Schizosaccharomyces pombe: one gene and its partners. The gene in region 3 interacts genetically with the main gene of each other region. Each region holds a gene or a part of one and is shown on either strand. Other genes may lie near its edges. The genes, in order: cdc48, vph2 and ufd2.

Region 1 (10,661 bases), 820 kb from region 3:
CCCATCGAAGCGAAGGCCTGATCTTTATCGGTAATTTCTTCAGATAATGAAATGCCTTCTTCTTTGATGCCTTCTGATATTCTTCCTTCCATATCAACATAGCCTTTTGGAGGATAAGCTTCAGATGGATATTGCTCTGTTCCTAATGGCGAATTAACATGTGCATATGTGGGCAATCCAGAAGGGATCGAAGAAGGACTCAACGTTAATGGTTGCTGCATTAAAGATTCAGGGCTATAACAGCTCGGTGAAAAATTAGTGCCACTAGGCGATATGCAAGACTGACGCATATGTTCGAGATTATCAAGACGAGTATAATCCACAGAATTACTCTTAGGAGGATTCTGAAAAAAGTAACTATTTGATTTGTTGATCAAAGAATCTTTTGGTGAAGCATGAGGAGAAGGCATAGCCTGAAGATTAAGAAACGAAGCAGAAACATCAGATGGGCCACTAGGTTGATTGAAAGTAGGAAGATTTAAAGACTCACTAAAACTCATCCAATCCAATTTATCAATCTCGTACCCTTCAGGAATAGATTCAGGAAGTGTCATATTCATAGCGTAATTTCGTGAAACGGCGTTAGGTGAATACGGCATTCTAGCCAAACTTTCATCGTCTAATTGACCTGAAAGGCTTTCAGGTCTATTAAAGTCATAAAGCTGCGGGTGTTGATAAACAGAAGGCCTCAAATCGCTGGCAATGGTTGCCCTACGATAGTACAAAGGACTGTCGGGTCCATAAGGCACACCGAGACGTTGATCTGACCATTGAGAAGATGTAGGATTTACTGCACCAGATGCAGAGGCATTTACCGTTTCCCTCCCATTACCGGCAGAAACCAGCCTTTGTTGTTGGGCTTGCAACCAACTTGCAGAAAATGAACCTGAGTTGTTCGCAAGCTGCGCTTGTAGTGCGGCATGCAACTTTGGATAACGAAATTTGTCAATGGAATCTGCCTGAGGTAAAGAAATAACAGGTTTAGAAGCTAAATTTGTTGTGCTTACCGAAACATTTGAAAGAGAAGGATTGGGTAAAGCCGTTGTTGAACGACGTCTTCTTCGAGGTTGTGGATTCCTATGGATTTTCTGTTGGTGACGAAGTAGAAGATCACGCCTCGAAAACTGTCGACCACAACCTGTAGGTAAACCATCAATCTCACTACAAGTAAAAGGCTTTTCGTTGGTATGAGATCTGATATGTCGTTTAAGATGCTCCAATCGAGCAAAAGCGCGTGTACATGTTTCACAAACATATTGTTTAACTTTCTGGGGTGGGGCATTAGGGTCCTTTTTAGCAGCGGTAGAAGAAGCCACAGGTTTTGAATTAGAAGTAACAGAGCTGGGTGTATTAGCATTAGAGGTACCAGAATCGGAATTAATAGACATCAAGTTTTCCGAAACTTTTGATTCGGATAAAGTATTAGCTTTCGAGGCTATCGGTGCTAAAGACTCACGCGTCATGATAAAACAAGTTTTCAAATTAAACAATTATTTTCTTATTTTTCAAAAGAAGAATATGTTGTTAAAATAAAAGATATGAAGGGAAATAAAGCTTGAAAGTGATTGCAATCAGGATTCAAAAAGACTAAAAACGAAAACCGCAAAATAATTTTCGAAAATGAAATGCAAGATCCTAAATTAGTTATCAACAAGTCAGAAAAAAGAAATAGCTAAATAAATCAAAATTGACTTGTCAGAGAAATACAGGTAGGCAAAAATAAGCAAGATATAATCTGCCAAATAATTTTACCAAATAACGTTAATAGCAAAGCAACAGAATATGTTAAATATTTCTTAAGGACAACAGGGAGATGAGAAAAGTAGTTGAAGAAGGAAAATATGAGGAGAACTGTTGAGATGCCAAACTTTTTTTTTTTAAAGGGGATAAAAAAAGAGTGTAATCAAACAAAAAGCCACCGCGAAGAACAACAAGGAAAGAAGGTCGGTAAAATAGACAGAGAAAGAATAAAAACAATCGATTGAACCTGCACACAGTAATAGCACAGATAAACAAGAAAAGACACTTGAAAAACTTAATGTACTTCAGAAGAGTCTATTTCAAAAAAAGCCTGGAAAATAAATTTCAAAAAGATAAACGCCATCCACACTTTAAATAGAATTAGACACTAACTAGGAAATAAGAAACGTATTGTCGAAACAATGTACGTCAAGAGGAGAATCGGAAATGTAAGGAAAGGAGAAAGAATTAACAGTCAAATAATAACTGAAACAAGGCACGTGAAGGACAAAAAACGAATCCTATAACATATATACTAAATGTCTGATAGATTGGTTAAGGATGTCAATTTTATACATCCAAACTAAAAAATATAAAATAACAGACAAACGCTTTGCGGTTTTCCTATTTCACAAAGGAAAAACCAAAATTGAATGATAAATGAAGTGTATCCTATGCGAATTGTAAAGAACAAATCAGCTTTTAACACTTAAAAACGAATTTTAGTGCAATAATCTTCAATGATCTGAAACTCTGCAGTGAACTCGTATTTTACAATTCGAATAAATGAAGTTATTGCAACTTAGAAGTAAAAATCTTCTAGTGTAAAAGATTCTCTTTCCTTTCTAAGCTTACTAACTGGTCAAGTGGCGAAAAGCCGGATATCGACGATTAATCGTTTTTGAATGTTTTCACTGACTTCTAGTAAAAACCTTGATACTTTTAATTACTCAAACTTTCTGAATCCGTCAAAACTCTTTCTTAACAAATAATTTCAATCTCACTCATGTATATGGAGGATTGTCAGTTTAATGCATGTCGTTGTCGCGACTAAACAAATTTTATAATAACCTAATATTTCCAGGTAACACAGGTAACGATGCTTAAGGCACCATGTGGAAATTCTGAATCGACATTACATACTTTTGTGGGGGTAGGGTCAAACTACGGTTATCTGCCGAACAACATGTCCATGAGCTCGCAGATATCGTCCACTCGTTGTGGTCGATAGTGGAACATCCCAGTTTTAGCTCTTCCAGTAGATTTAACGGGGCGTTGCCTCCACGAAGAGACTTAACATCGCTAGCACACTACTAGCATAGTAGCAGTTCACCTTGAAAATAACTACACATACAAATATGCTACTATTTCGATAACGACATTTTAGGTTAACACTTGGATCTCCGGGTTGGCTTCTATCTATATGCCGATCGTTATGTGAATCGTGTGAAAATGCACATTTCTACACTTGCAAAAACTGACGAAAAGTTATAACTAAACACAACAGTCAACATAATAGTATGCTGTAGTAAACTAGACTTGGGCGTTCAAGAATTTCTTACTCATAAAAAAAAATTCGTTCTATTCAAAGACTAAATTTAAGAATCCCTACAAACTCATGTTAAGTAGCAGAGAAGTCATTATTATCAATCAATCAATCACCTTTTACAAAAATGACTTCAACAAAAAGGCAAGTCCATGTTCATACATAAATTTTGTTCATCATCGGATATAGAATTCATGCATTAAGGTGGTAGTTTCTATGCATACAAATCATCAGCACCATCATTTCCGAAGCTTGGTCCATTAGTATTACTATCAGCCGAATCAAACTGGAATCCTGTAAGACCACGCGAGGTAAGGAGTTGATGGGCATAAGCTTCATAACGACGGACTTCTGCATCACTGACAGAGCGGCGTGCCATTTTCATGGCCTCCTCCACATGATGACGCTGAACTTGAGACACAGATGCATCTTCGTCCATAACAACATCGTCAGCAGGAGCCTCTCCAGTCTCATTTTCGCGCTTGATGTCTTCTTCAATGCTGTCCTTGATGGCCAATTTAACAGCTCTTTGTACAACAAACTCCAAATCAGCACCTGAGAAGCCATGGGTCGCCTTAGCAACTGCACGCAAGTCAACATCTTCAGCAACAGGCGTATGTCTCAATTGAGTTTGCAAAATGCTGAAGCGAGCTTCTTCATCGGGTAAGGGAACGTAGATTAATTGATCCAAACGACCGGGACGCATCAAGGCAGGATCAATCTGATCGGGACGGTTGGTAGCACCAATAACAAATACATTCTTCTTGCTGTTAACACCATCCATCTCAGTAAGAAGTTGGTTGACAACACGATCACCACCACCAGAGTCACCAGCAGAAGCGCCACGTGCTTTGGCAATAGAATCCAACTCATCTAAGAAAACGACACAAGGAGCTGCAGCACGAGCCTTGTCAAATATATCACGAACGTTTGATTCAGACTCACCAAACCACATGCTAAGCAATTCGGGTCCCTTTACTGAAATAAAGTTGGCAGAACATTCGTTGGCAATGGCTTTCGCCAACAATGTCTTACCTGTACCAGGGGGTCCGAAAAACAAAACACCTTTGCTGGGAGTGACACCAAAACGCAAAAACTTTTCGGCATACATAACAGGCATCTGGACAGTTTCACGTAATTCACGCTTAACTTCTTCCAATCCACCAATGTCTTCCCAACGAACATTGGGAACTTCCACAACGGTTTCACGCAAAGCAGAAGGATTGCTGGAACCAAGGGCAAATCTGAAGTTATCCATTGTAACACCTAGAGAGTCTAAAACCTCGGCATCAATCTCATCTTCATCCAAGTCAATCATATCCATCTTTTCACGAATCTGTTGCATGGCAGCTTCAGAACACAAAGATGCCAAATCAGATCCAACGTAACCATGAGTCTCAGCAGCAATTTGCTCAAGATCAACGTCATCAGCAAGCTTCATGTTCTTTGTGTGAATACGAAGGATCTCTAAGCGGCCGGTGGGATCAGGAATACCAACATCGACTTCACGATCAAAACGACCAAAACGTCTCAATGCCGGATCGATAGAGTTAGGACGATTGGTAGCGGCCATTACTACAACATTACTACGAGCTTTCATACCATCCATTAAAGTCAATAATTGTGAAACAACACGTCGTTCAACTTCACCATTCGTTTTTTCACGCTTGGGAGCAATAGAATCTATCTCATCAATAAAAATAATAGCAGGGGAATTTTTTTCGGCTTCTTCAAACGCCTTCCGCAAATTAGACTCAGATTCGCCTGCCATTTTTGACATAATCTCAGGACCATTAATCAGGAAAAAGAAAGCGCCCGTTTCATTAGCAACTGCGCGAGCCATTAAAGTTTTACCGGTACCTGGAGGACCATACATAAGGATACCACGAGGTGGCTTGATACCTATACTTTTGAATAATTGGGGATGACGGAGGGGAAGCTCGACAAGCTCACGGATTTGAGCCATCTGGCGACGACAACCACCGATATCGTCATAGCCAACTTCTGCCAAGCTACTTTCTTCATCCTCACGATTAATGGGTTCACCTTCCCAATGAATAATTGTATCCTGGCTAACAATGCCAAATTCATCAGGAGCAACATCAACAACTTTAAATTCAACTTGACGCATACTACCCCGTACAACGAAAAGATCGCCCTTTCGAATAGGACGATACGCTTCAACAAAGTACGGCTTAAGGTAAACATCAAAGAGAGAACCAGTAAGACCCTCGACGGTATCAGCCAAGGGTAGTACTGAAATTCGTTCAGCATATTTAATATCTGGACAAGGATTGATCGTTACAATATCGCCTAACCTTACGCGCAAGTTGTTACGAACAACACGATTAATTCTTGCTACGCCATCTTCCATTTCTTCGTCAGTTAAAACAATCAAGACAGTGTCTTTCCGTCTCTTTCCTTTAACGACAACTGTGTCACCACGGAAAAGTTGTAAAGTCTCCATGGTATTGGACGACAATGTGATTACTGAGTTATCATCGTTGGTAGCGTCATCGACCACTAGAGAATTTGGTTTTCTTTTTTTACGAAGAATAGCTGTTGCTGTGTCTTCTGCACTATATGTACTGAGCTTGTTAGCATCGAATTCTAAAAAAAAGTTACTGCTACATCGAAAACATACTCTTTTGGAGGGTTTTCACCCTGAAGGTGTTCCACTTCTGGTTTCTTATCGGTCATGGTGGATGGTGCGTTCATTCGACCATGCACCATGCGCTTATATATGAGCATTCAATTTATAAAGATACATGAAATTATTGCTCAAAAAGGTAAATTATTTCTAAATATTCTTCTAATTGTTTTTTTTCTGTATAATAACATCTGTAAGCAGTTGAGTCTTTCTGCTACATAGCTGCCTCGCAAGGTCGTTACTACCAATTTCCATTATTTTCGCTAGATTGTTTTTATTTAACGCATCTCTAGAAAACACGTATTGTATAAATTGCCAAATTTAATTTATCTATTCTTCTTTTACCAAGGAAACGTCGTTGCTATTAGAATGTTCCAAGAACATCAATAGTAAACAATTTTCTAGTAAAATCTACGAGGAAATTTTAAACTACAGAAATGCAAAAATTCGAACGACCGCCCTATATCTAAATGTGCTTAAAACTTCATTACTAAGCATAAAATAAACATTTTGAGTGTTATCCGTTTTCAATTGAAATGAAACTTGGTTGGCGGTTTAGTAAGCTAAATATTTTAGTTTGAAACCCTTGCAATATTATTTATCATTATAACTATAAACATCAATTTTCTAGAAAGCGTTTTGTAAAAGTGTTTAGCAGTAAGTTAAGGCTAATCAAATATTCTTCTTTTATGGTTATTGATTGTATTGCACAATCAATAATAAAATTAGTTCAATCTTTAATAAGGAATTTAATGTGTTTTAAATATCCATACTTACTGTTCGTTATATGGCTTATGGTGTGGAATCCTTTATGATACACGCTGTCAGGCTCATTGTACAAACTGCTGAATCCCTACCTTAGTGGCCATAAAAATTAATCAATTGTAAAATGGAGGAGGGAATTTTATTAAAAAAATACGTTGAAAGTATGTTAAAAATAAAAAACTAGCTCTAACTGTTGCAGGTAGCGATAAAGACATACGTTACATGGCACTCAGCGATTTAGCTGCCCGACTTAATGATGCAAACCATTTGAAAAATCTCAAATTGGAGAGCTTTCCTGATACACTCGATGTTTTATTACAAGCACTGAGTGATGCTTCGCCAGAGGTTCAACAAGAGGCAGTTCGTTGTGTTGCTATAATTTCTAGCAAAATTCCACAAGATAAGTTAAAATCTACTGTTGAAAATTTGCTTTCTGGAGTTGCTGGGAAGAAATCGAAAAATTACTTGTCTGCTCTCAGTTTGCTTTTGTCCAACTCGAACGTCCAACCTTTCGTAAACAAATTTTATACTTCGACTGTATTCCCTTCATTTTTACAAATTTTAAAACAGTACAACGTTGCTCAAGAGGAATTTTTTGCAATTCTCTGTGTGGTCTGTGATTCTCTAGAAATATACCATTCTAATCTTTCGACTCTTCTACCTAACAATTTTGAATTGTGTATAGACGTATTCCAAAAATGTACGACACAATGCCAAAGAGAATTAATTATTAAAAAGGCTTGCTATCTCCTTTCTGACGTATCACTTTATGGGCCTCGCTTTGCATACAAATATATAATTGAGGTGCTTGATCGAGGTTTGGGACCCTCGACCCAAATGTCCGAGGTAAATATTTCTATTAAATTGCTTAACGAAATACTTCTGTCATCTAAAAAAGAAAAAGATTCATCTACATCATTCATCTCAACAGCAGTTGCTGACTACACCAATAAAATATTATCGTTATTAAAGAAGGAAGAAGCCCCAGATGAGTTAACGCAAAAATTGTTGGAGGTTTTAGGATTGTTATTAGAGTACCAACAAGTGAATATTTTGAAAATTTGGCCAGAATTACATGGTCTCTTAATCTCTAAAATTTCTTATGATCCCAATTTAATATCTGATACTAATGATGAAGATGATATCGCTGACTTTCTCGAAGAAATGAGTGACTATAGCAGCATTTACGAAGATGAAGAAGATGTATCTTGGATTGTTAGAAGAGAATCTTTGAAAGTCGTTTTGTCTGTAATTTTGTCACGTTTAGAGTATTTGCCTATAGTCCTTCAAGCACTAGGGACTTCTGTGGTTAGTAAGTTAAACGATAGAGAGGAATCTGTTTGCTTGATTTCTATCGAAGTATTAAAACAAGCATTCTTGCATGTTCCTCGTTGGATAGAGGTGTATGCAACTTCTAATGATAGAAAGCGTCGTTATGAAGGGTTACCATCGGACCGTTCAGCAATATCGGATACTTCTATTTATTTAGTGTCTGTAATTGGAAAGCATGTCTCTAAGTTATCTGATAAAACTCCACTTTCCATTGTATCTGAATTACTGAACCTAGTTACAGTGATTTTTTCTTCAAGAGATCTTGGTGTTCAGTCCGAATTTTCAAATCTGAGCTCAATTATATACCGTTTTCCTGATTTTTCAACCCTTGATATAAAAATTAAGCTGAATTTAGTTCGCTTAATATCAGCTATCATTTCTTGCGGCTGCGAAGAGATAGAAAACATGGAATCTAAAATGTCAACTATATTAAGTTTAGCGGTACAAAACAACTACCCACAACTTTCATACGAGGCCTTAATTACTGAGCTGTCATTTTGCAAATATATTCATAAAAAGCAACCCACTAACGTCTCAACAGATTTTTCCACAATGATTGATTCTTCACTTCAACTTTTGGAATCTAAAATTTCTGACTTGAAAGTTCGTTTAGCTTTGATAGATCTGGTCTCTCAATACGTAATTCTTTTCTATGAGCCTGATTTTGATTCTATATTCCTGAGACGTGTCTTAATTATTTTATGTAAAAAATTACAGGAAGAGCCCACTAGAAGTGCTGCTGCAAGAGCGTTATGTGATATTTTCATGTCCGTTACAGATATTACTAAGATAGAAAATGGAACAAAAATTTATGAAGAAATACTCCAGGATTGCTGTAGGCATATCGACAAAAGTGGCAATGAATTTACGACTGCTTATTTGGAACTATTAGAAGTGCTCTTGAAAGTTGGACAAAAATATCTCGCTGAAAGCTTGCTTGAACATATCTTAGGTTTACTGATCGAGACTCTTAAAAGAAACACTGAGAATACGGTTGCAATTTTAAAATGTTTGCTAATCATACCTTTGAGTATCCTTTTGAAATCAAAAAATTTACTAATAGACACTATAATTTCTCATCTGCAATCATCAACCATACATTTGAACGAAGAGTCCGTTTGTTTGCTAAGCAGAATTATTGCTGTTATTTCGAAAGAAGAAGATTTGGAGTTGATTATTAATTCTTTCACTTGTGCACAAAAACCTGTTGAAGAAATGGTTACATTGGCATTGATTGCTGCACAACTGATTTGTATTTTTCAATCAAAGGCCATTGTTACGTCTCTGAATAAAAGTTTTATGAGTCCTAAATCAGAAGTACGGATAAAAGTTTTCACAACTTTAATTTTTGGACAGCTTGATTACGGGAAGCTAACACTTCCTGCAAATGAGTACTTTGATACGATTGCAAGTAATTTAAACTCGCCGAATGCAGATGTTATGAAAGCAGCAGCTATTGCCTTAGGGTCGCTTACTAGTCAAAGTGAAAAATTCATAAAAGAATTATGTGCTTTATACGTCTCAGATGCTTATGATAAAGAACTTTTATTAATTTCCTTTTTAACTTTTCTTAAGAAATCAAAAATCGATTATGAAACAGCAGATAAAATATGGGATATCCTTTCTAAGGACATTGAAAACATTAAAGACTTTTCCACTTCTCCCTTCAGAACTCTTTTATCTGAATGTCTTGGTCTTTTAATTTGTAATGAATCTTCTAGCTTATATTATAAGCTAGAACTTTTATCCTCCAGTGAAGCTTCAAATCATATGCTTTTATCTCTTTCGGTGTTTCGTTTTTCGTTGACATTGGACTGTCCTAAACTGAAAGCTTATGAGAAACAATTTTTTGAAAAGGCGTATAAGCTATTTCAAAATCCAGACCTCGAAGTTAGTCAAGAAACGTTGCAGGTCATAATATCTGTGATAAAAAATAGGCGTTCTTGCATTGCAGACGTTTATAATGAACTTTTACAAGGCTTAATTTCCAAATCATCAGTTGATTCTAGTAACGTTCATGTTGTACAAATGGGCCCTTTCCAACATGTGGTTGATAATTCAATAAATCAACGGCAGCTAGTATTTGAAACACTTTATTCCTTACTGGATATCCCTGAATCTTTGAATCATTTAACCCATTTTTTACAGGTTTCTGTCATGGGGTTAGAAGATGAACATTATATTAAGCTAGTATCTTTGTCAATCTTGGAAAAACTTGTCGACTGCAGCCCTTCAATTATAGACGAGCAAGTAGACACTATTTTGGAAGCATTACGAAAAATTATAGAGCTTAGAAAAACTGAAAAGACTTTAAAGACAGATAGCGATAATATCCTTGATTTGGTTCGTTCTGCTTTGAGAGTTTTGTTTACAATGAAGTTGAAGTGCGACAATCCTGTAATTTCTGAATTCGAAAGTCAAGTTCAAAAGGGTCCTTACTCCTTGGAATATGAGGGAATAAAGAACGAAATCAAAACTACAATTAAAACTTGAATTTGAATATAATGTTGGAAATTCCCTTTGAATTTTTACTGGCATTTGATTACCTACAATATTTCAATGTTGAAACCTACAATGCGCTTCTCAACTGATATATTCATTAATTTCAGATGAATCCAGTTGACGCAT
Region 2 (9,059 bases), on a different chromosome or scaffold from region 3:
GAACCGTTAGTAAGAGTCGATAGAGGTGTAGAGGGCTTTGGAGTAGGTATGGAAACTTTAGCAATGCCAGTAGCAGTAGAAGTGGTTTCGTCGGGTTCGTCTTGAAACGTTACGTCAAAAAAAGAGTTCTCTTTTTCCTCGATGTTTTTAGGAATGCTGAAGTGATTGTAAGCCATAGATGTCACTGGAATAGTATTGGTTAATTGAATAGGACACATATGCGTTTCTAGGAGGAGAGTAGAACCTTTTCTAAATTACTTCCTGAAAACTGATTAGTTCAAACCTGCAGGGATTTAGCGGAGATTAAAAAAAAAAAGGAAAACGGATTAGGCTCCTTCTAAGCTCTTATTGCAGTTTCTTATAAATTGAAATTGCAATCAATAGCTGTGATTACTTCGACAAAAATGAAGTAAACGACCAAGGAGAACGGAGTAGTGGTAAACGGGGTGTAGCAGTGACAAAGAGAAAATTTTCTGCAAGTAAGTCTTTTGGTGGGGAAATAACGAAGTTTGAAGAACGTATAGTAAAGTCGCACAATTTACTGATAGGAAGTGGTAGCGTAGCTTTACGCCTCAGTCGTTATATCTTTGGAAGTGAAAATGATGAGATTAATAAATGAGAAGAGCATTACAAGAATGGGTTTTTTAAATAATCGTAAATTTCCTAGCTAAAGCTAACGAATGCTGCCAAGTGAAATATCATTCTTTTAGTCAATATAGCAGGTATTAACGTAGTTGTTTTCGTTGGCCTTTGCTTCGGTATATAGGATAGCGTGGTTCAAGCGACTTTGTAAGATCAGATGAAAGATAAAGGGCAAAAACCTAAATAGCGTCCATGCATCAGTGGAACTTTCTTTCTTCAGATTACGTTATATGGTATAGTGAGCTTTGAAAATCGTTGAAAAAATTCGAATTTAATGGTGCAGAGGCAAAGACGATATGGACGTTCGGAAAAATGAAAACTATACTGGAGGAAGTTATCTTTATTTGATTCTGTCTTCGTAATTAAGCTTCCTTCAGCTTCGAACTTTTCATTTCCTAATTCGAATACCTATTTGTTCACCCGTACCTCTTTAGGTTTATATTTGTTCTTGCAAACTGTTCTGCGGCGATATGAATTTTGCTACCCCAAAGTTTACGTAAGCCAAGTTTGTCGTAAATAAATTCGCAAAAAAAAGTACTTTGGATGGTGCAACATGGAAGAATTGAACGCCGTTGAAACGCTGGTATTTTTGAACATGAAGTATCTCAGTATTCAACCCAAAGTCATAAAAATTCTTGAACCTTTAGCTTTCCAAGCGCTGAATGAGCATACTGGGACACATTTTGAAACCATAGACGCAAGTAATAATTGCGTAAGTTATATAAAACTCATAGAGCCAACAAAGCTAGTAGCATTTACTTCTTAATATTATATTGAAATTCCAATAAATAATCTTTGAATATCGTTTGTATGAAATACCCGAGAGCAATTGCGGCGCTAAATTAAACTGAATGTTCAGTTACCAAGATTTATGTCACTTCATAGAAAGATATAATATCACAGTAGCGTGTACCATTCTTCTATACCTCACTGAACGAGGAAGTCTACAATTCTGCTTGGCCTAGCACAGTGTTAGCGAGGGTGAAGAATAAAATTATGATGCTAATTACCAAAACGGTGATTTCAAAAAAAGTTGAGGAACTTTCATATTTTCATTTTTTGCCTCTTATAGGACGCTATGTATTACGTTGCGTAACTTTGACTTTTGCAAATACTTGGATGTACCACTGTCTCCATGTTTGTTTGTTGGTCAATATAAAACGTAGTATTAGACATTAAAATATTGGTTTAATTATTTCATTTAGAAAACTCAATAGAAATTTAGCAAATATCGTCAACCAACCTAGATTGATCCTGTTTCACGCAATTCGGACTATATGAATCGTTTTTGATTGCTTTCTAGACTTCATAGCATTATTACTTACCCTTCTACTTTTTTAATACCTTCGAAATTGTCAAATTGACTCATTATTGCAAAAATGCTGTACAGGCTCTCCGAAAAACAGCAGACAGACTTACGGTGTAATAAATTAACTGTCGATGGATTTGAGCTGGTAAAAATGTTAAAGGAATTACGATTACATAACAGGAATATCAATTTTTTGGAATTTCTTCGAGGTGTACAGATTGTGCCGAGCGACAGTGTCTTCTTGGGCGAAATTGATGAAAACAGCCATACTCAAGACAATACAACTACTTCTATCTTAAAGGAGAAAGAGCTATATGATGGTATTCCTCTGCTTCCATCAATGGCAGGCGTATCCATGGACCCTGAGAGAGAAAAAAAATCAGAGTTACGACTAATGAAAAACCAAATCAGCGCTATAATCAATATACTCTTCACAGTAGTAGGAACGGTGACCGCTGTTTGGTACTGCACTTCATCTTTATCTATTGAAAAGGTATGAATTAAAAACTTTCGTTTTGTTCCTGGGAGACCTTTGTATTGACTTAATATTATTTAGAAAATTGCGCTATGTGCGTTTTCAGCAATCTTGGTTCTAGTAGCAGATACGTTTCTTTATGTCCGCTATCTATCTGCACAACCCGTACGAACTTCAAAGAATCATACTCGACAAATAATATATACATGGACAACAAATGACCCTGTTCTACAGTCAAATGAGCAGCTAGCTATAGAACTGGGAGCCATTCCATCTTTGAAGGAAAAAAAGAACCAATAATTATATTCTTAATTTTTAGATGTTTTATTAACGAAAGTACCTTTGATGTTTTCCTGTAGATGATTTTTATAGGTTGTTTGTCTAATTGATCATAATGGCATACCTCTCTATGTGTTAATTGAAGGGCAGGCACCTATGGGCACACTATAGATAAAAAATAAAAAGTATTTAAGATAAAAAATTCGAACTCATTTGGCTTTTAACGTATATTTCATCAATTAATTTCATTATAATTAAAGATTTAGCAACATTATTTCAATTTAATTAGCCATTTGGTATTAGATTTATTTGTAAGGAACACAACTTACAAATTTATAAATAAACAACAAATCAACCCCCCCTTGTAAAAAAATTAAAAAAAAAAAAAAAAATAGAGAGCAACCTAACCATTGAGTTACCAGTGAATTATGCAAGGCGCAACTTGACCTTAAGTTTCTTCCATATAATCAATAGTGCAAGCACAGACATAACGTTTAATATTAAGCATACCGCAAAAAAAACAACAGGTGAGAACGAGCGAAATGCACCGCCAAAGATAGCACCAACTGTGTCGGATAAGGAAATTGATATTTGCACAGCGACGTTACCTATCAGGTGGTACTTAGGATGTAAAACCTTTGTCAATAAAGAGACCGAAGGGGAATTAGCAATAGAAGATCCAAAAAAAACAAGGGTGTAAATAATAAAGTAAGGTTGTACGAATTCCTTGCCTGTATAGTGAATAGTTATATGAATAACCATGCATACGATGTTTAAACAACAACCCAACAATATGATATCTCTGTCAGTCAAGTAACGCGTCAAATAGGAAAATATTAAAAGCAAGGGTACGTTGATAATTCCAGCCAAAGAAAGGAAGTTACCTGCTTGGAAGGATGAATAATTATAAAGCATAGAAGTGTAAATTGGAACAGATGCTTGGTATGCATTTAATAGAAAGTAAGCAGAGAAGCCAGAGAAAGCGACAACGAAAATAACAAGACACCCCACAAATCCTAGTTTTGAATTGGTATCCTGTTTGACATCATTAATGACATGCTTCTCTTCGACTACTTCTTCCTTTACGTCCGTTTGCGGGCTCAAAACCTCCCGGAAACAAGCAAAGCCAAACAAAAACAAGCCTACCCAAATGAAAGCCATTAGCCAGTTACCCGAAGTATATTCATTCCAGATATCGCTTTGAGACTTCATTGAAGACTTGGCCATTAATCCTCCGATGAATGGACCAGCTGTCAAACCAAGCGTTGCCATGACTGAGTTGACCACACCCATCGACGTTCTATATTTGATGCTGATCAAGGCTTTATCTGTGAAATAGCGCTTGTGGTATAAAAACATGGTACACGCAACACCCGTAAAAATACGACTCACAAGAATCAAGGCCACACTTTTGGCTTTATCTGCGAGTGCATACATGATATGACCAATAATGCAGCTTATACACGACATTGTATATGGTCTTCTATAAATCGTATATCCCTTGGCAGCTTTCGGAGTCGAGAATCTCAACATGGGATACAGCAACACAAGGGCAGTGATTGTGGGCAATCCGATAATTACACCGGACAAACCATTTCCTCCCCCCAGATGTTGGACAAATCTCTCGGACGTAGGAACGACAATGGTGAATGAAATGCAAAGAATTGTGTTATTTAACAGCATCAAAGCCGCACTGATGAACGGTGGTTTATGCGTAGCAGCCGGTGAGGCAGAAGGGTCATTGGAAACTAATCTTACAGATTGCTTGTATCCCGACTTTTCCTTTTCATCAAGAAAGGATGAGACCGAGAGGTCTTTTTCTAAATTACTTTGTTGCTCCATAATATAGACTCAATGGATCCATTCAAAAACCTGCTCTACTACGAAAACTGGCCTGTGGAATAAGGTATAGAAGGAACGAGAAAACAAAGAGAAATTCTTTGTTGTTTTCAAATATTTTGGTGTGAGTAAAGGAAGAAAGTGGAATTTCAATAGAATAGCATGACTCGTTTATTTTATATGAGATCAATTTTTTTAAGTTGATGATATCCGATAATTTTCATCATCGTATAGAATGGATAAGAATTCCCAAAATAGGATATCCACGGTGCTTCCCTAATTAAGCTTTCCGTAGTGCGGAGTATTTTACCATATATCAGTCATTAGTTGTACGGCTACTGTACTAGCTCACATGGTCCAGTGGTTAAGACTCATCGTTGTGGCCGATGCGACCCAGGTTCGATTCCTGGTGTGGGCAGTTTATTTATTTGTTCTTTTTTAAATTATTAATTACTTGTATAAATAGGAAATAATCAGCGAGAGCAAATAGTACAATTCAGTTATGGCAAGTACAAAAACGCAAAGATAAATGCAAACGTAGAAACCGGTAGACATGATGGTAGAAGGAGAATAGAATTATGATAGGATATGATGATAAGTATCGAATAGAAATGTCTTGCAAAGTGTGTTTGGCAGATAAGCCCATTTGAGCGGTCGAATATTTTATGCTTTTTTTCAGGGCCAGCCGGCAAGATCACCTGTCTATTTGTCCGTTGGCAGTAAGCGTTTGCTCAAGATATGGATGCGCTTCAGTACTTGAAGATTTACAGACTGTTCGGGACGGAAAGACTCATGACTGTTCGGGTCGATCATTTTGGCTACTATCCGTCTGTCTATGATAACCAGTGTATGCATGGAAAAAATGTATCGTAAATCGTTTAATGAGAATAGGGCATAAAGCGTTATTCAACGGATGAAGAAGGAAACTTGACAATGGCGATGTTGAAAGACAAGCTATGTGAGATAGCAGATTGGTTCCTTGCAGTACACCAGCCCCTACAAATACTATGATTCTTTTAACTTAAACATCCTGCTCAGTTCCTTCTAATCAATACTTGGTTACACTAGTTTTTTGGCATAATGAGTTCTCAAACATGCTTTACAATCTCTCTTACATTGTACTATGTATGATGAAAATCCAAGTTTTGCATATTTCGCCTAGTGCACACTGCCCACAACCTTTTCTCTTGCACACGTAGGTGGCTATGAAAGAGGATCGTCTGTGCGCCTCATAAATATCGTTATTCAGCATATCAAGTTTTTGCAGCAATGTTTCATACGACGCTCAAACATCCTACCTAGATATTGTTTTTTTGAATTTATAGGCCAAAATAGAATAGAATGACAATTTGCTTTGTACTCACCAAGTCCGCGCTTGTGATTACTTTGTAATCATATATTTATTTATTTATTATTCTTGTTCTATTGTTTATTTACTAGTGACCTCATCTTCCTTTCCTGAACATCGCAATGTTTCCTCATCTCTTCTTCCCTTTCCCATGTCCTCGTTCCTAAAGTTAAAATCTTTGTTTATCGACCTATTATTAATAATCGGTAAACAAGTTTAACGCTTGTTCTTACACCTTTTTATGTGTATTTACAGCCGCCAAACGTGGCTTATTCAAAGCCCCACTTGAGAACCAATGCGAGCGCATCTGGAAAAAGGGCTATCGGTAACAAACAGTCTCATCTTACGTCAGCCTAAATCCGCCGAAGCAGCGATCGGCCTCGTGGTTGTTACCTAGCTGCCATGGCGATATTTGTTTACATTCGTGCTCGCAGTCATATAAATAAAAGATCCTCGCTACACTACTGAACCTCTACACATCTAACATTTTGCATATTTTTCTAATATCCTCCCTTTAGTAGGCTATATCTAAAGGGTTTGATACCCGTTCTTCATAACTTTTCTTTTTCTATCTTTTTTGTTTCGTTTTTTTGGTTTCTTTTGCGTGCCAAATTTTTGGTCTTTTTGATTTTGCATTTCATTTCTATTTTTCTTGGTTTCCCCATTTTTTGGTTTTGTATGAGTGTGCTCAATCAACTTGTCAAATAATTTCCTCATCGCATACCATATTGATTAACTTTTCCTTTTCTTTTTTTAATCGTTTTTTTTTTTGCATTTACATTCCCACTTGCCAAACCGAGAATATATCGCCCGGCGTTTGATTTTGTTTCCCATATTTTCCTCTTCGACACGAGCCTTTCCTTGTTGCCTTCTTTTGTTTTTTGTTTTTTTTGTTTGTTGAGCCGTCATTTCTACAAAACATTCCCTTTTGCATTTTTCATCGCATATATAGCCTAAAAGTTATCTCTCAAAGTGCCATCTATTTTTTGGTTTCTTTTTTTTTTCAGATTATTCTTTTTTAATTTGAATTCTCCCTTTCTCTCTCTCTATTTCAATCACTTCCAGAAAAATTAGCAGAAGTATGGGGTTTTCTAAAATAGCACTTTTTTCTTTATTCGCGCTCTTCGGCCTTCCTACCTCTCTTGCTAAAAGCAGTGAGGAATGGCGCGACCGTATCATTTACCAGGTCATAACTGACAGATTTGCCGTTGACTCTGATAATACACCCGATTGCTCCTTCGATGATAGTTCTTATTGCGGTGGTACATGGAGCGGTATTCGTTCTAAACTCGACTACATCCAAGGAATGGGATTCAACGCCATCTGGATCTCTCCTGTCGAAAAGAATCTTGAGGGTTCTTACGGTAGTGATGGTGAAGCTTACCATGGTTATTGGAATACCGATTTCACTCAATTAAACGAGCATTTTGGTTCGGAGGATGATCTCATCGATTTAATCACTGATATGCACAATCGTGACATGTGGATCATGTTTGACGCGTTGGCCAACTCAATGGCCATTCCAGGACCCACCGATAACATCAGCTACTCGAATCTTGTGCCTTTTAATGACTCATCCTACTTCCATCCTTACTGTTGGATTGACTATGGCAGTAACAATAATACAGATATTGAGGATTGTTGGACTGGTGATGACAATGTCATCCTTGCCGATTTAGACATTGAGTCCACGAATGTTGCTGATTATTTGCATGAACATATTCACGATATGGTCGAGCGTTATCAGATTGATGGAATTCGTATCGATGCAGTTAAACAAATGAATCCCGAATTTTTCCCCAACTACACTTCTGCTGCTGGTGTTTTTGCTATTGGCGAAATGTTTAGTTACGATCCCAATGTCTCTTGTTCAGTGCGTAATTATCTCGACAGCATTACCAGCTATCCCATTCGTCAAGGAATTGAATTTGCATTTAATTATACTGGTGCTGCATTTGAATATCTTCAGGAGATTGATACGCAATTCCAGCAAGCTTGTGAGGGACAAGATATGTCGGTTATCGGAAACTTTTTGGAGAACCATGACCTTCCCCGTTACACCTCTATTACCAATGATACCTCACAAGATATTGGCGCCATTGTTTTCCTCCTTCTGCATACTGGCATTCCCATTATTTATTATGGAGAAGAACAACGCTTGCCTGGTGGCTCTGATACCCCGGAAAACCGTGCCGCCTTGTGGAATTACGGCTATGACACTGATGCAAATTATTACCAAACCATTCGCACTGCTATTGCTCTACGAAAACAAGCTATAAGTGACAGTGATTCTTGGACCACAGATTCTCACTCTTATTTGGACTACGATCTGCGCCATGCTGTGGTAAGAAAAGGTGATGTTTTGGGAGTTTACACAAACTACGAGTCAAGTTCTGACAACGTTACTTATGATGTCTCCTCTAATTTTGATGATGGTACTGTTTTGCGCGAGGTTTTGAGCAATACTACTACGACCGTTGGCTCAAGTGGAGCATTGCACGTTACTGTTGTAAGCGGTCTACCTCAGGTCTATTATCCTGAGGCTAGTTTGACTTCCTTTGGAAACTTCCTAGGAACGGCCACAAGTTATTCTTCTGCCTCGGCGAGCTATCCTTCTACTTCGATGAGTGCTTCGCTTTCATCTGTGCATACATCATCTGCCACATCAAGCTCCAAGTCTAGCTCTAGCTCTAGCTCCAGGTCCGGCTCTAGTTCAAGTTCAAGCTCCAGGTCCGGTTCGACTTCTTCTAGCGGCTCTAGCCATACCATCACTTCTACTTCTCAAAGTGTGCACACGAGTGGATCGTCGACATCTACTAGTAGTGTAGCGGTCACTTCCACGGCATACAGTAGTAGTTCTAGCTCGTCTTCCTCAAGCAGTATTGAAAGTTCTGCTAATGCTGTTCGTGTATCTATCCTTGGCGTTGCAGCATTCATTGCTATCGTTCTATTCATTTAGTTAAAAAAATAATTTTATGGAAATCTATCTTTTGCATCTTTAATAATCTCAACGCATGCTTAAACTTTCGTATTCGCTACAGTGTTACAGTGTCTGTTTAAGCTTGTTGTTTTTGCTAACTATAAATCGTTTCATCACAATAAAACATCATTTTTGCACACATTCAATAAAACTAGTGTGTAGGTGCGTTTACGCGTAATAGTCTGTA
Region 3 (11,324 bases):
GTCGTAAGGGCAAGGCTAAGGGTGATATTCCCGGTGTCCGTTTCAAGGTCGTCAAGGTTGCCGGTGTTGGTCTTTCTGCTCTTTTCCATGAGAAGAAGGAAAAGCCTAGAGCTTAAACGAACTTAATAAAAAGTTGTTTGTCTCATTACTGCGTCGTAAAATGATATTAGTTTTAGTAGTCTAAGTAGTTTTTCCGTAGTAAATTAGAATCATGTGACAGGGGATATACTTCTGTCTTTTATGGGTCTAACTTACATATACTTGGGACAAATACCTCTTAGTGACTTCCTAGTATATTCAGGGATGTAACCAGAAATTCTAAACTTGTAAACTAAGCCGTTTATATTCAATTATCAAGTAATGAAAAATTAACAGTGTAGACTAGAATTAGATGTAAAAAATGAAAGGAGAAACGAGTGAATTAAATAACCTTAGGAAAATCAATTGCAGATTAGTCAAGTTTGAAATGGCTAGCAAGAGCCTGGCCTGTGTCAGACTCTTTGCTATAAGCTAGTTCAATGGCGTATAAGAGGAGAGTTAAAATAGCACTTACCCAACGCCAAATTTCAGCGGAACACAATATTTGATTCACTGGAGAAGTGAAAGAGGGTGTTGGGTATAAGTGCTGTAATAGAAGGTTTGTATAGACTGCAATAAGTATACATGGAGAAAGAATACTCCACATACCCTGTTTAGAAGTTCGACTGTACTCGAGAAAGATGATGTTATTTTGTATTGCAGGTAAAATTCTTGTTACGGCATACATAACTGATATGCGAAAAGCAAATGTAGCGAAAACACTCGGCGCTACGGTCTTAGCAGCCGCTACCATAAAAAGTACAATATTATAAAGCGTCCTTGGTAAAGTAGCAGATATAGTGGAGATTAGATAGTGAACACTGTTAAAAAATGTTAAAATTCGACTGCTCGAAAAAAAAGCAAGAAATTGGTAATAGTGAATAAGTAAAACATGTTGGAACTTACCTTTGAAGTATATTAGGAGGAAGATAATCAAACTTTGGTTTCTCAAGAGAACTAGTGTTTGGATTGCCAAAATCAGTACAAACCATATATACGGTGTATGCAATATACAAAAACTAAATATGTTAAAATCAGAAATAAGGAAATAACAATTACCATTAGCGATGCTTCAGATAAATTTGCACGTCCAGAAGCAACACCATAAATAGAAATTACAATCACAGTTGCAAGGGAAAATCCGATCATTAATGCATTAGGATTGGAGATAGAAAAAGAAGATACACGATAGAGGAGATAGAGGCTCATTGATATGGCACTACTAGCATTAAGCAAAATAAAGAACTGCGTTTAAGTTAACAAACGTAGGCATAAATAAAAGTATAAAATATACGTACCATCCAGTTTTCGGACTTATTATGGACCAACCAACGGCTTAGATGGCCAAGAGCTTGTACAACTAAAAGCGACGCCATTCCTTCTAGCAAATTAAATAGGGGAGTAAAGTGTAGTAGAGCAGTGTTCCAAGCAGAAGCAAGAAAAGAGGCATATTTATTCTGCTCTATGCTTGGTGATGCATTAAGGGCTATTATTAATAGAATAAAAACTAAAAGAGGTTCAAAGAAATGTAATGTTAAAGCAATTTTTCGAAGCCCAAACAGCTTCAACAAAGCAGTAGAGAAAAAGTATACTTCTAGTGCAAGTGTAAGTATCTATTTTAAATTTATGTTAGTTTATTTTTTAAGAAAGAGAAAGAAAGAAATGTTGAAATAACTTCATTCCTAAACTTACCAAACCGCAAAACCGACCGCCAATCTCAAAGGCGATTCCTACTAAAACTATTATGACTAAAAAAAACCCCAGGGAAAGGAAATTCCCAAACATTGCTAGCATGTTGCGGAAATGTGTTGATATATTTGCTTTAGGTTTTCCCTGAATCTCTGGTGCTTCATCATCAATAATTTCCAATATAGAATCATCCATTGCTTCAAAACTCGTGTCCTCCACTGTCGAAACCGAAATATCATAATTATTCGACCTAATTTCCTGGTCCATTGCCAAAAATTATTAAAAATTGGTCAAATTCGTAAATGCAAGACGTTGATTTTTCAATTTTTGTACAATTACTATCTTTTTAACACAGTAGAACCCAAACTGAAAACTACTTCACTCTATTTTTTCTTCTATAATTTTAAATCCTTCACAGGTAAACTATAAACACTAATTTTTACATTCAGTGCTGTTTTAATCGTTCATGAAGTAGCACTGATCCCGTAGCTAAGGAGTTTTGCTAAATAATTTTATATGAATTTTGAACGGCTGAGGCAATGAAACTTATCAAGCTTCTTTCATATTCCTTATTAATCGTTAATAGATATACGACAATATAACGCAATACGTGGTTTGTATGTATCTTGGAAGAGGGGGAGCATGCTCGTAACCACACCAAAGCCTATTGTTTACGTTTTAAAATTCGAAAGTATACTAGCAATTTACTATAAAATATTGTATAGATAAAAGCCAAAGGATTTTTTAAACATAATAAAAAGCTATAACTACTATCTTTTCCATCAGGTCGGTTTTACTGGGCTGCTCCACTTGTGTGTTTGCATAAATTTATAAAAGGAAAGTTGAAATTTAGTTCAATTGAATAGATTTTAACAATTCTTTTTACAATTAAATTACTCTAAGACGCCGCTTATATTTTCTTTTTGCTTTGCCCCCTATTTATTCGTTGCTTGAGTTATCAGTCGCCTTATATTTACATTGGTAGTTGAGATCGATTTTTTCAAAGCGGGCAATTCCTTGCGTTCACGAACCAATTATTGATATACTTGCAACAATTTTTTATTTTAAAAGAAATTTTTTATTCGACATTATGACTACTGAGCTCCGTCGTAAATTGGTTATTGTTGGCGATGGTGCTTGTGGTAAAACATGCTTGTTGATGTACGTTTGCCCTTTTAGAAATTCTATTCATTGTTATCGAGCTTTTCAAATGTGAATTTGATTTATCTAAACAACAATTGTGTTTTTAAAGCGATTAATCTACTAACAATTATTTTAGTGTTTTTTCCAAAGGAACTTTTCCTGAAGTTTACGTCCCTACTGTTTTCGAAAATTATGTTGCCGATGTCGAGGTTGATGGAAGGCATATTGAATTGGCACTATGGGATACAGCTGGTCAGGAGGATTACGATCGTTTACGCCCTCTTTCCTATCCAGACTCTCACGTCGTTTTGATTTGTTTTTCAGTTGATGCTCCAGAGAGTTTGGACAATGTTCAAGAAAAATGGATTTCTGAAGTTCTTCACTTCTGCTCCAATTTACCCATTTTGCTAGTTGGGTGTAAAGTGGATTTACGAAACGATCCAAAAACAATCGAAGAGCTCTCCAAAACCTCACAGAAGCCTATCACATTTGAAGAAGGACAGGTAGTAGCTCAAAAGATTGGCGCCTATAAGTATCTCGAATGTTCAGCGAAATTGAACGAAGGGGTCAATGAGGTTTTTGAGACTGCAGCTCGTGCTTCCATGCTTAAATTTAAGCCTGCTAGTGTACCGAAGACAAAAAAGAAGAAGCACTGTATCTTACTCTGATGAAATGCAATCTCTGTTATGGTGTATAAGAGCGTTCTATTAATTACATTCTGTATTGTTAGATTCACTATATTCATTTATCCTCTTGTGCAAAGGAATTATTTTACGAGCTTAACCTTTGTGGTACCGTACACCAAGTTTTTTATCCTTCGAATCATTACCTAATGAGTTTCCATGAATGTTTAAATATTTCATAGTAATTAATTGTCTAATCTTTTATTTAAACTTATCGAAGCCTTTCATTAAAAAACTAGTATAAACACAGTTATATTCATTCACTATTTCGCGAATGTTTGTTGCGTTTTGATTTCAGGAACGTGTTAATTTCCTCACGTAATGTATCATCTAAAGAATTAGTAACTAACAGTGGAAAAAAAAAACTTACTCGGTGTCACATCATCAAGCGTTAATGGAGTTCGATTAAATGGGTCGGTGGCATCACTTAGTAGATGTGCTTTAATAGTAGACCTATCAATCGAAATGCCAGATCTCGGTAAAACAACAGGATCTTTCATTATTGTAAACATAAGAGGATCTAAGAAGTAGTCAGGAATATCACCCATGTCTTCCTCTTCAGTAGCCTCTTGCAATCTGAATGCCTCTACCCTATTCACAAATTCTTTAATAGCTTCTATATCAAAAGATGACTTGAGGTTGTGCTTAGTCATAATGCTAGTCGCACGTTCAAATATTTCTTTACTATAAGAACGGCCATCGTGAGCAACAGCTTCGACAAATGCAGGTTCATTGCACAGGTTAAGATAAACATCGAAAATAATCGACAAAAGGGTTTTTGCATTAAAATGATATTTCGTTGGGTCCTCTACCTTGAGGTTACTACACTTAGGGCCACATAAAGCTTGAAGGTTATAGTTTAGCATAGCTGCCAACCGATCTACAATTTCAACGGCACAAAAGGCTTTAGGAATTGAGGAAGTGAACAATTTGAGCATAAAAATAGTTTCATTCCCTAACTGGCAATAAGTAGAAGCTTGACGTTCTGCGGCCGCTAAGTTGCTTTGCGATTCTTGAACATTCTGGTTAGAGTTGCTATTGCTTATTGCATCTGCCAAAAGGCTCTGAAGGTTGTGAATCTCGGTTAGTTTTAAAAGAGCCTCATCAAGAAGATATGTAGCATCATTAAGCATGAGAGCTACAAATTTAACAAAAAACGGCAAATTTGTTTTTTGCTCCTGCTCCAGCTTACCAAAATAGGCTGGTTGCTTCCAAATAGTTCTAAATACTTCGCATATATAGAAACGAATGTTGAATTTATCATAAAATTGGGTAGATTGTCCTGTAGATTCAATCTCAATATAAAACGCCATAAGTGCTGGAAGTAACCACCTTGTTGCAACCTTCGACGTACGTACAACATCTAACAACAATTCTGATCTTCCCACGTGCGTTTGCACTCCAAAGTATAAAATCTCGGCAAGTTTCGCTCGCAAATAAGGATTTTTGATATAATTAGCTTGAGTTAGAAACGACACACAAAATTCACACAAAGGCTCTAAGGAATGCAGCGTCAAAGTACTCGACGAGGTTTTAAATAAAGACAACATATAATCTGTAATGGTTTCAATAAAATATTCAGGTAAACATTTGAAAGCTTCCGGTGCATTTTCATTAAACGGTAACGATAGCGGCATTTTTGGATATGTCGAAGATTGACCATCAGCTAACCTCGATAACCAAATGGCAACGAAATTAAGAAAAGAAAATGATCTTGAAGTATCAGATGTCTGCGTAAGCATAATCTCATAACAGTGCACAAACGATCTATCTAAATCCAATCTTTGATCAAGCCGACTTAATTGAGCAGTGAGACGTGTCGCTTGAAAACTACCGCTCATATTTTGCTGTTCAGTCTCTAATCTTTCTTTCAGTTTCTCGCTATCACGAATTGATTGCACAAGTTGCTCTAAAGCCTTAAAGGTAGCATTTACACCATAATGATGAAATGCGAGATTTAAAAAAAATATGTCTGAAATAAAGTTATTGGAACCCTCGGCTGGTTTTGAATAAAACGATTCCGAAGCCTTTTGATCAGCATTCAATTTAGTCTCTTCTTTGATATCAACGCGAGGGTTTCTCCTAAAATATTCAACTTGTACTCTGTCAATTTTCGAACATCCTATGTCAAGAAATGGTTCAGAAAGTCTGCTTAACACATGTGAAAAATTTAGCATGCAGGCGTCAGATGTAATATCAAAATGATTAACTTGAATGGATTGTCGCTTGTGATTGGCATTTACCACCATGGCAAAGAAATCCAACACAGACTCTCTCAAAGATGTAGATGTTCGAATGAGGGTATTGAAAATTTGAAAAAGGACATCCTGATAAGTAGACATAGTCAATTTTAAAGAACTTATTGACGAAGATATATTTTGGGCTGATCTCTCAGTAGAATTGGAAAAATATCGAGAAGCGACATCTTGAGTAAACACTGACAAGCTTGATATTCTTCCAAGAAACGTTTTGTACTCAATTTCTCCAGCATTATTCGTAGGATTCCAAGAAGGCAACTTCGGCAAAAGTAATGCAATTGGTTTTAATGACACAAGTTGTAATATAATCTAAAAATATCAGTTTATGCTAAAAGATAAAAATTGATGTTCATACCTGCATCACATTCATTTGAACAGTATCTACATTCATAAGACCAATTTTCAAAGATAAAGATTCCAACACAGGAATAAACAATTCATCTAAGTTTTCGTGTTCAAACCTCTGAACAAATTCTGATAGAAATTCCAAAGGTATACCTTCTGCACCAATTAAAACCTCGGCCAAATCAATTGTCTCCGAATTGAATGTGTCAGGAAGCATTACTACAATACCGGCATAACTGACAAGCAAACTTTTTAACAGAGATAAATAGTGAATTTTAAAGTCCTGGTTTTCATCCTTCGGAAGTCTCTTTTTATACTGATACAGAAAACTCCAAGACTGTAACAAATAAGAGAAAGTATTGTTGCCAGTTGTTGACAGTCGAGAGAGTAACGCAGAGTCAACATTATTCTCATTAAATAATAAAGGGGATCCCTCTTCTTCTAAATCTTTTTTAAAACCTTCTAAATAGTATTTTGATGAATCAGTTTCACTTAATGTAATATTAAGAGCCTGACATGTTATAAAATGCATCCATTCATCCTTAGAAAACAAGCGATGTTTTGGAGCACCAGATGTAACAGGTGGAGATATTTCTTTTTGTTCTGAATTTGATGTTGTAGCCTTTGAACCAATAAATCTCTTTTTTAAATCAGGTTTTTTAGGTTCAGGTGCAATATTGCTTTCCTTAGGTTCTTTAGAAGAATTTGCCTCCGAATTGGTCTGCTGCAATTTAGCAAGCCTTTTAAGACGAATCTATGGGCCAATATTAGCAATTAGCTGAAATTTTTCTCTTACCTTTTCCAAATCACTCATAATGGGGTGGATTGAGCAAGTTGGTGGAAGTGAGGTCAACATATGTTTTAACTACCAAAACTTACTATGCTAAACCGGTAACATGAAATTGTATTAACATATATTATTTTTCTCGTTTATAGTATTTATCCAGCCAAAAACTTTCTATTTTAGAAATATTCTTCACGAATATTTGAGTTTCTGATTCGACAGCTAAAACGTTAAAATAGTCTTATAACAAATAGGCTTACCTGAAGAATACATGATCCATGGTGTTTTTTTTTCATGAAGTACACTACTAGAGTCTAACCAAACCTGCTTTCCTCCTATTGTTTTGTAAGAGCCGTCATTCTGTAAATGTGCGACGTTACGCACAAAACCATCAAGTAGGCATTTCAAAATTTTGGAACAATCACTGGATGGTAATCTTTGAGCAGTAGGTATAGAAAATTTATTTAAAAAACGAACCAAATGAGTGCGAATGTCAAGGGCTTGGCGCAAAGTTTGATAGTTCAAATAATTTTTCCTGCACCATTGTAAATCTTTTTTGTTACCGACAAAAGATTCAAAAACTAAATGTTAATACACTTTTAAACTTTATTAATGAAGCATACCATTTAATGCGGTAATGATGTCCCCTTCATTTGCAAAAAAAGAAGAATGGGCAACGAAGGCATCATTCTTTGATGAACTTGTGGGATTATAAAATACTTCGCCTGCTGTAAGTATTGAAGCAATTGAAAGAATTTCATGAGTGCAACCAAATTGGTTGGAAGTAAGTAACTAATGATGGGTTAGCGTGTACTTTATTTCCTATATGGGAGTACGTACAGCTTTGGAGATGTTTGCATCCAAGAATGAGTTGGAAATTTGTATGCCAAGTGGGTCTGTCAAATTTCCACTTTCGTCCAAGACACCTAAAAGATAGAGGTCCTTCAAAAAAATTAGTTGTTTGCCGGCTATAATAAAATTCACAAACCTCTAGAGCCGCCATAAGGTGAACTGTGGGAGGACGGACAAAAAAGGGAAACTGAAGTATGTTTTTTAGCCCTAAACCTTTCAAAAATAACACCAACGGTGACATATCGCAATTTAAGATGTCTGCTTCAAATTCTTCTTTCATCAAGCTGTAAGCTTTTTCAGTATATAGACGGAACACCTTTCCCCTCATTGTCCTTCCAGCTCTTCCACTTCTCTGTATAGCACTTGACTTAGATATAGGCACGTTAATCAATTTTGAAGTCCTTGTATACGGGTTGTATATCCGTTGTTTATTAAAACCTGAATCAACGACATAAACTATGCCATCAATAGTAATACTAGTCTCAGCAATATTCGTAGAAAATATAACTTTTCTGAAGTCACCATCATATATGTTAAAAACTCGCATTTGCTCGTCAACAGTAAGACCAGCATGTAAAGGTAAAGGAACTAAAGTTTGACAGTCTTCGGAAGCATGAATTAAGGAATCTTCAATCTTTTTTATACAGTATTCTATTTCTTTTCTTCCCGAAAGAAAAACCAATATATCACCAGGCGGATAGGTTGAATTAATGTTTATAACCGTTTCGATTGCAGAATCAACGTAATTTTCTGTAGGTTTCTGCAAAAATAATGTTTCTACGGGGAATAATTTCCCTTCAATTGACATAGTGCATACTTTATCTTGTCCGAAAAACTGAGACAGTTTATTCGCGTCAACAGAAGCGCTGGAGAGCACAAGTCTAAAATCATTCCTCTTTTCTAAAATCCTTGATTTGTCAGCTATGAATAGAAAATTTAAATACCTTTTCAAAACTCCTAGTAGGAGATCTGTCGACAAAGTTCGTTCATGGACTTCGTCGAGAATGACTATTGAATATCTTTCCAGCAAAGGATCAAAAAATATTTCATTCAAAAGGATTCCATCGGTCATATATTTTATTTTTGTTTTTTCAGAAACGTTATGATCAAATTGAATGCTATATCCACACAAACTTCCAGGAGGAGAGTTCAGTTCCAAAGATACTCGTTCAGAGACGCTCTTTGCTACGAGTCTTCTGGGCTTTCAAATAAGTTAGGAGGATGATAAATAAACAAAGTTGTGACTAACCTGTGTACATCCTATAATACCGTTTTGGGACGCCCATCCAGCTTCGTATAAAAATTGAGGGATTTCTTCAAGATTATTTTTAGTTTAATAAACCATCTAATCAAAATACTTACGAGTTGTTTTACCACATCCTGTGTGGCCTAACACTATAGTAATCTGATTTTGCTCTACTGCATATAACAACTGGTTTCCTAAATGTAACGTCAGCAATGTAAGGGTAAAACAGCTACATACTGTATTTGGTGATTGGTAATAGCTTTTTCTGAATATTTAAGGGTGTATTTGTAAGAGTACTAAGCGATTGGGAAATAAACTCATTAGGCATACTCTTGCGTAGAGAGCATCAAGTAAGTGGAAGCACTTTCATGTTACCACAACTAGATTGAACGTATTGTAATATTTATAAAAAACAGTATTAACAAAATTCAAATAAAAAATTATTATTCAAAATAAATATACTACAATAATTATCACGCAATTTGAGTAAAATCTGGGAAACCTCGTAACATTGGTATCTGTTAAAAGAATGGCTGCATGCACGGCCTAACTTAGCAAAATGTTTTTTAATCTTATTTTTACTAAAACACTTAGTCTTGAGAATTTTCACGATTTCCCATAATCGTAACTTCCAACAACCACTGCTTTCTCCTCCAAACATTGATTAAAGATCCGTTTACTTTTATAACTTCGTTTATCCACCAGCACTTATTACCTGGCTGTCCCCATAGCTTCAAAATTTTACTCAAAAATTCTTCGCTTAATGAGGAGCTCTCGACTGTTGTTATGATATACGACATTAAGCTCATTAATTTTGGCTCCTTTACTCTCTTGGCCCATTTATCGTTGTAGCGAAATCCACAATGCTGTAATGCATCAACTAGCGGTCCATCACTCAGCCCTTTTCGGATTTTTTTTTTGTCTGCACTTTCAAAAACGTCGTTGTTCTTGAAAGTTTGCTCTAATAAGTCGCTCCTGATTTTTTGGTCGACGGGCTTTTTATTTTCAGAAAATAAATAGATATTGCAACATTCTGTTAAGAATAAAACGAGGGTAGTATTCGATATAGGATTAAATGCAATTTTTGAGGGATAAGCATTATTACTTTTTTTAAATAATGGTAGATAGGTGTCCAAAATCCATTTACAAATGGAAGGGTCGATTTTGTGGCATTTGAAACATGATGAGACATCACCTCCCTCATGTTTTAAAAGCAGATGAAACCCATTAGGAAATAGAAGTGCCAACACGGTAGTTGGTAATATTGGAAGTTCAACGCGATCAATGACTATTAGTTTGCCCCGGATGTTGAAATGTATTTTTTCTGGAAAAAACTTTAAATTACTTTCCAGTGTATTGGCTAAAGTGTCAACCGTATTGATTCGATCAATTGGAACTGACATTTTTGTGTTCTATTTTTGTAACGATTATGTTATAAAAGAATGTTCATTTTTTATTTACAAGATATCACCAATGCATACTTGGCTTTTGGTAAAAATGTTAGGTGCAAATTTCTAAAGGATCGCCAATAGCGGAAGCTATCGGAAAGGTCTTACAAAATCTTTTACGCGCAATAGTAAAAACAGGTAGAAAAAGCCATTCGTCGGTTAAGAGAGCTCTTTGGGCATTCTTTGTTACGTGTAAAACTTTTTATTGTATTTTTTTCCATTTCAATACCCAACTGGTATATCCAAAATTCAGTCCACTAAAGTATGTCGGATTCTAATAAAAATGCACTACCATCATAGATCAACAAAATATATATTTAATAGTGACAGAGGTAATATAAATATAAAGATAAATAAGTACACTTATATATGTAACAGTTACTCAAAGCATTACTTTTCTTTCTGCGAATGATTGATAAGCGACAGTCGATTAAACAAAGTTAGGGCAATTCATAAACCGGTTTTATTATATTATATATAAAATTTTTACAAAAATGCTAGCACGAATATATCCCAACCGATCCTATGCATATTCGTACGTCAAGCCTTGGAGAATTTGGTGAATAAACAACCCGAAAGATTCTCCCCGAATTATTGGTGGCAGAGTCGGTTTTCTTAATTAATGCTAATCTCGTACTGATGTTATTAGTCCAAACGAGACCAAGAGATGGTATTTTGGGATTTGGATCTGTGTCATCCCATCCCGAAAACCATTGCGATTGATAATCTAAACTAAACAACCCAATAGCATCATAATCTCTAGGAATTCTATCGCTAACTTGGTTAGCTATGACAACA

What was found.
Region 1: of ufd2 (region 3) and cdc48, a mutation in one rescues a mutant of the other (synthetic rescue), as found in Schizosaccharomyces pombe (one study listed by BioGRID).
Region 2: mutations in ufd2 (region 3) and vph2 together harm fitness more than expected from each alone (negative genetic interaction), as found in Schizosaccharomyces pombe (2 studies listed by BioGRID).

The regions. Positions count from the first base shown.
Region 1 is NC_003424.3:1,301,782-1,312,442, reverse strand, and holds cdc48 (AAA family ATPase involved in ubiquitin-mediated protein degradation Cdc48), read right to left. Parts: upstream 5,999-10,661; 5' UTR 5,987-5,998; coding exon 5,931-5,986; intron 5,875-5,930; coding exon 3,501-5,874; 3' UTR 3,177-3,500; downstream 1-3,176. Other genes in the region: DNA-binding transcription factor, glucose starvation sensing, Rst2, read right to left, coding at 1-1,463; knd1 (cullin-associated NEDD8-dissociated protein 1), read left to right, coding at 6,826-6,862, 6,901-10,526. UniProt on the Schizosaccharomyces pombe protein: ATP-dependent chaperone which probably uses the energy provided by ATP hydrolysis to generate mechanical force to unfold substrate proteins, disassemble protein complexes, and disaggregate protein aggregates.
Region 2 is NC_003421.2:66,510-75,568, forward strand, and holds vph2 (V-ATPase assembly protein), read left to right. Parts: upstream 1-1,742; 5' UTR 1,743-2,021; coding exon 2,022-2,444; intron 2,445-2,507; coding exon 2,508-2,726; 3' UTR 2,727-2,970; downstream 2,971-9,059. Other genes in the region: RNA-binding protein Rnc1, read right to left, coding at 1-176; SPOM_SPCC757.11C (transporter), read right to left, coding at 3,132-4,547; aah1 (GPI-anchored glycosyl hydrolase family 13 protein), read left to right, coding at 6,974-8,851. UniProt on the Schizosaccharomyces pombe protein: Required for vacuolar ATPase assembly.
Region 3 is NC_003424.3:2,124,149-2,135,472, reverse strand, and holds ufd2 (ubiquitin-protein ligase E4), read right to left. Parts: upstream 7,033-11,324; 5' UTR 7,011-7,032; coding exon 6,993-7,010; exon of another isoform or gene 6,985-6,992; intron 6,951-6,984; coding exon 6,207-6,950; intron 6,161-6,206; coding exon 3,964-6,160; intron 3,924-3,963; coding exon 3,850-3,923; 3' UTR 3,760-3,849; downstream 1-3,759. Other genes in the region: rps23 (40S ribosomal protein uS12), read left to right, coding at 1-116; family protein ICE2, read right to left, coding at 452-899, 985-1,097, 1,138-1,323, 1,377-1,691, 1,771-2,034; Rho family GTPase Rho5, read left to right, coding at 2,858-2,928, 3,047-3,578; gih35 (ATP-dependent RNA helicase), read right to left, coding at 7,114-7,202, 7,241-7,561, 7,604-7,772, 7,821-7,922, 7,969-8,740, 8,777-9,033, 9,082-9,146, 9,195-9,272 and 1 more; whi2 (phosphatase activator), read right to left, coding at 9,669-10,481; rad57 (DNA recombination mediator, RecA family ATPase Rad57/Rhp57), read right to left, coding at 11,024-11,324. UniProt on the Schizosaccharomyces pombe protein: E4 ubiquitin chain-elongation enzyme specifically involved in polyubiquitin chain assembly.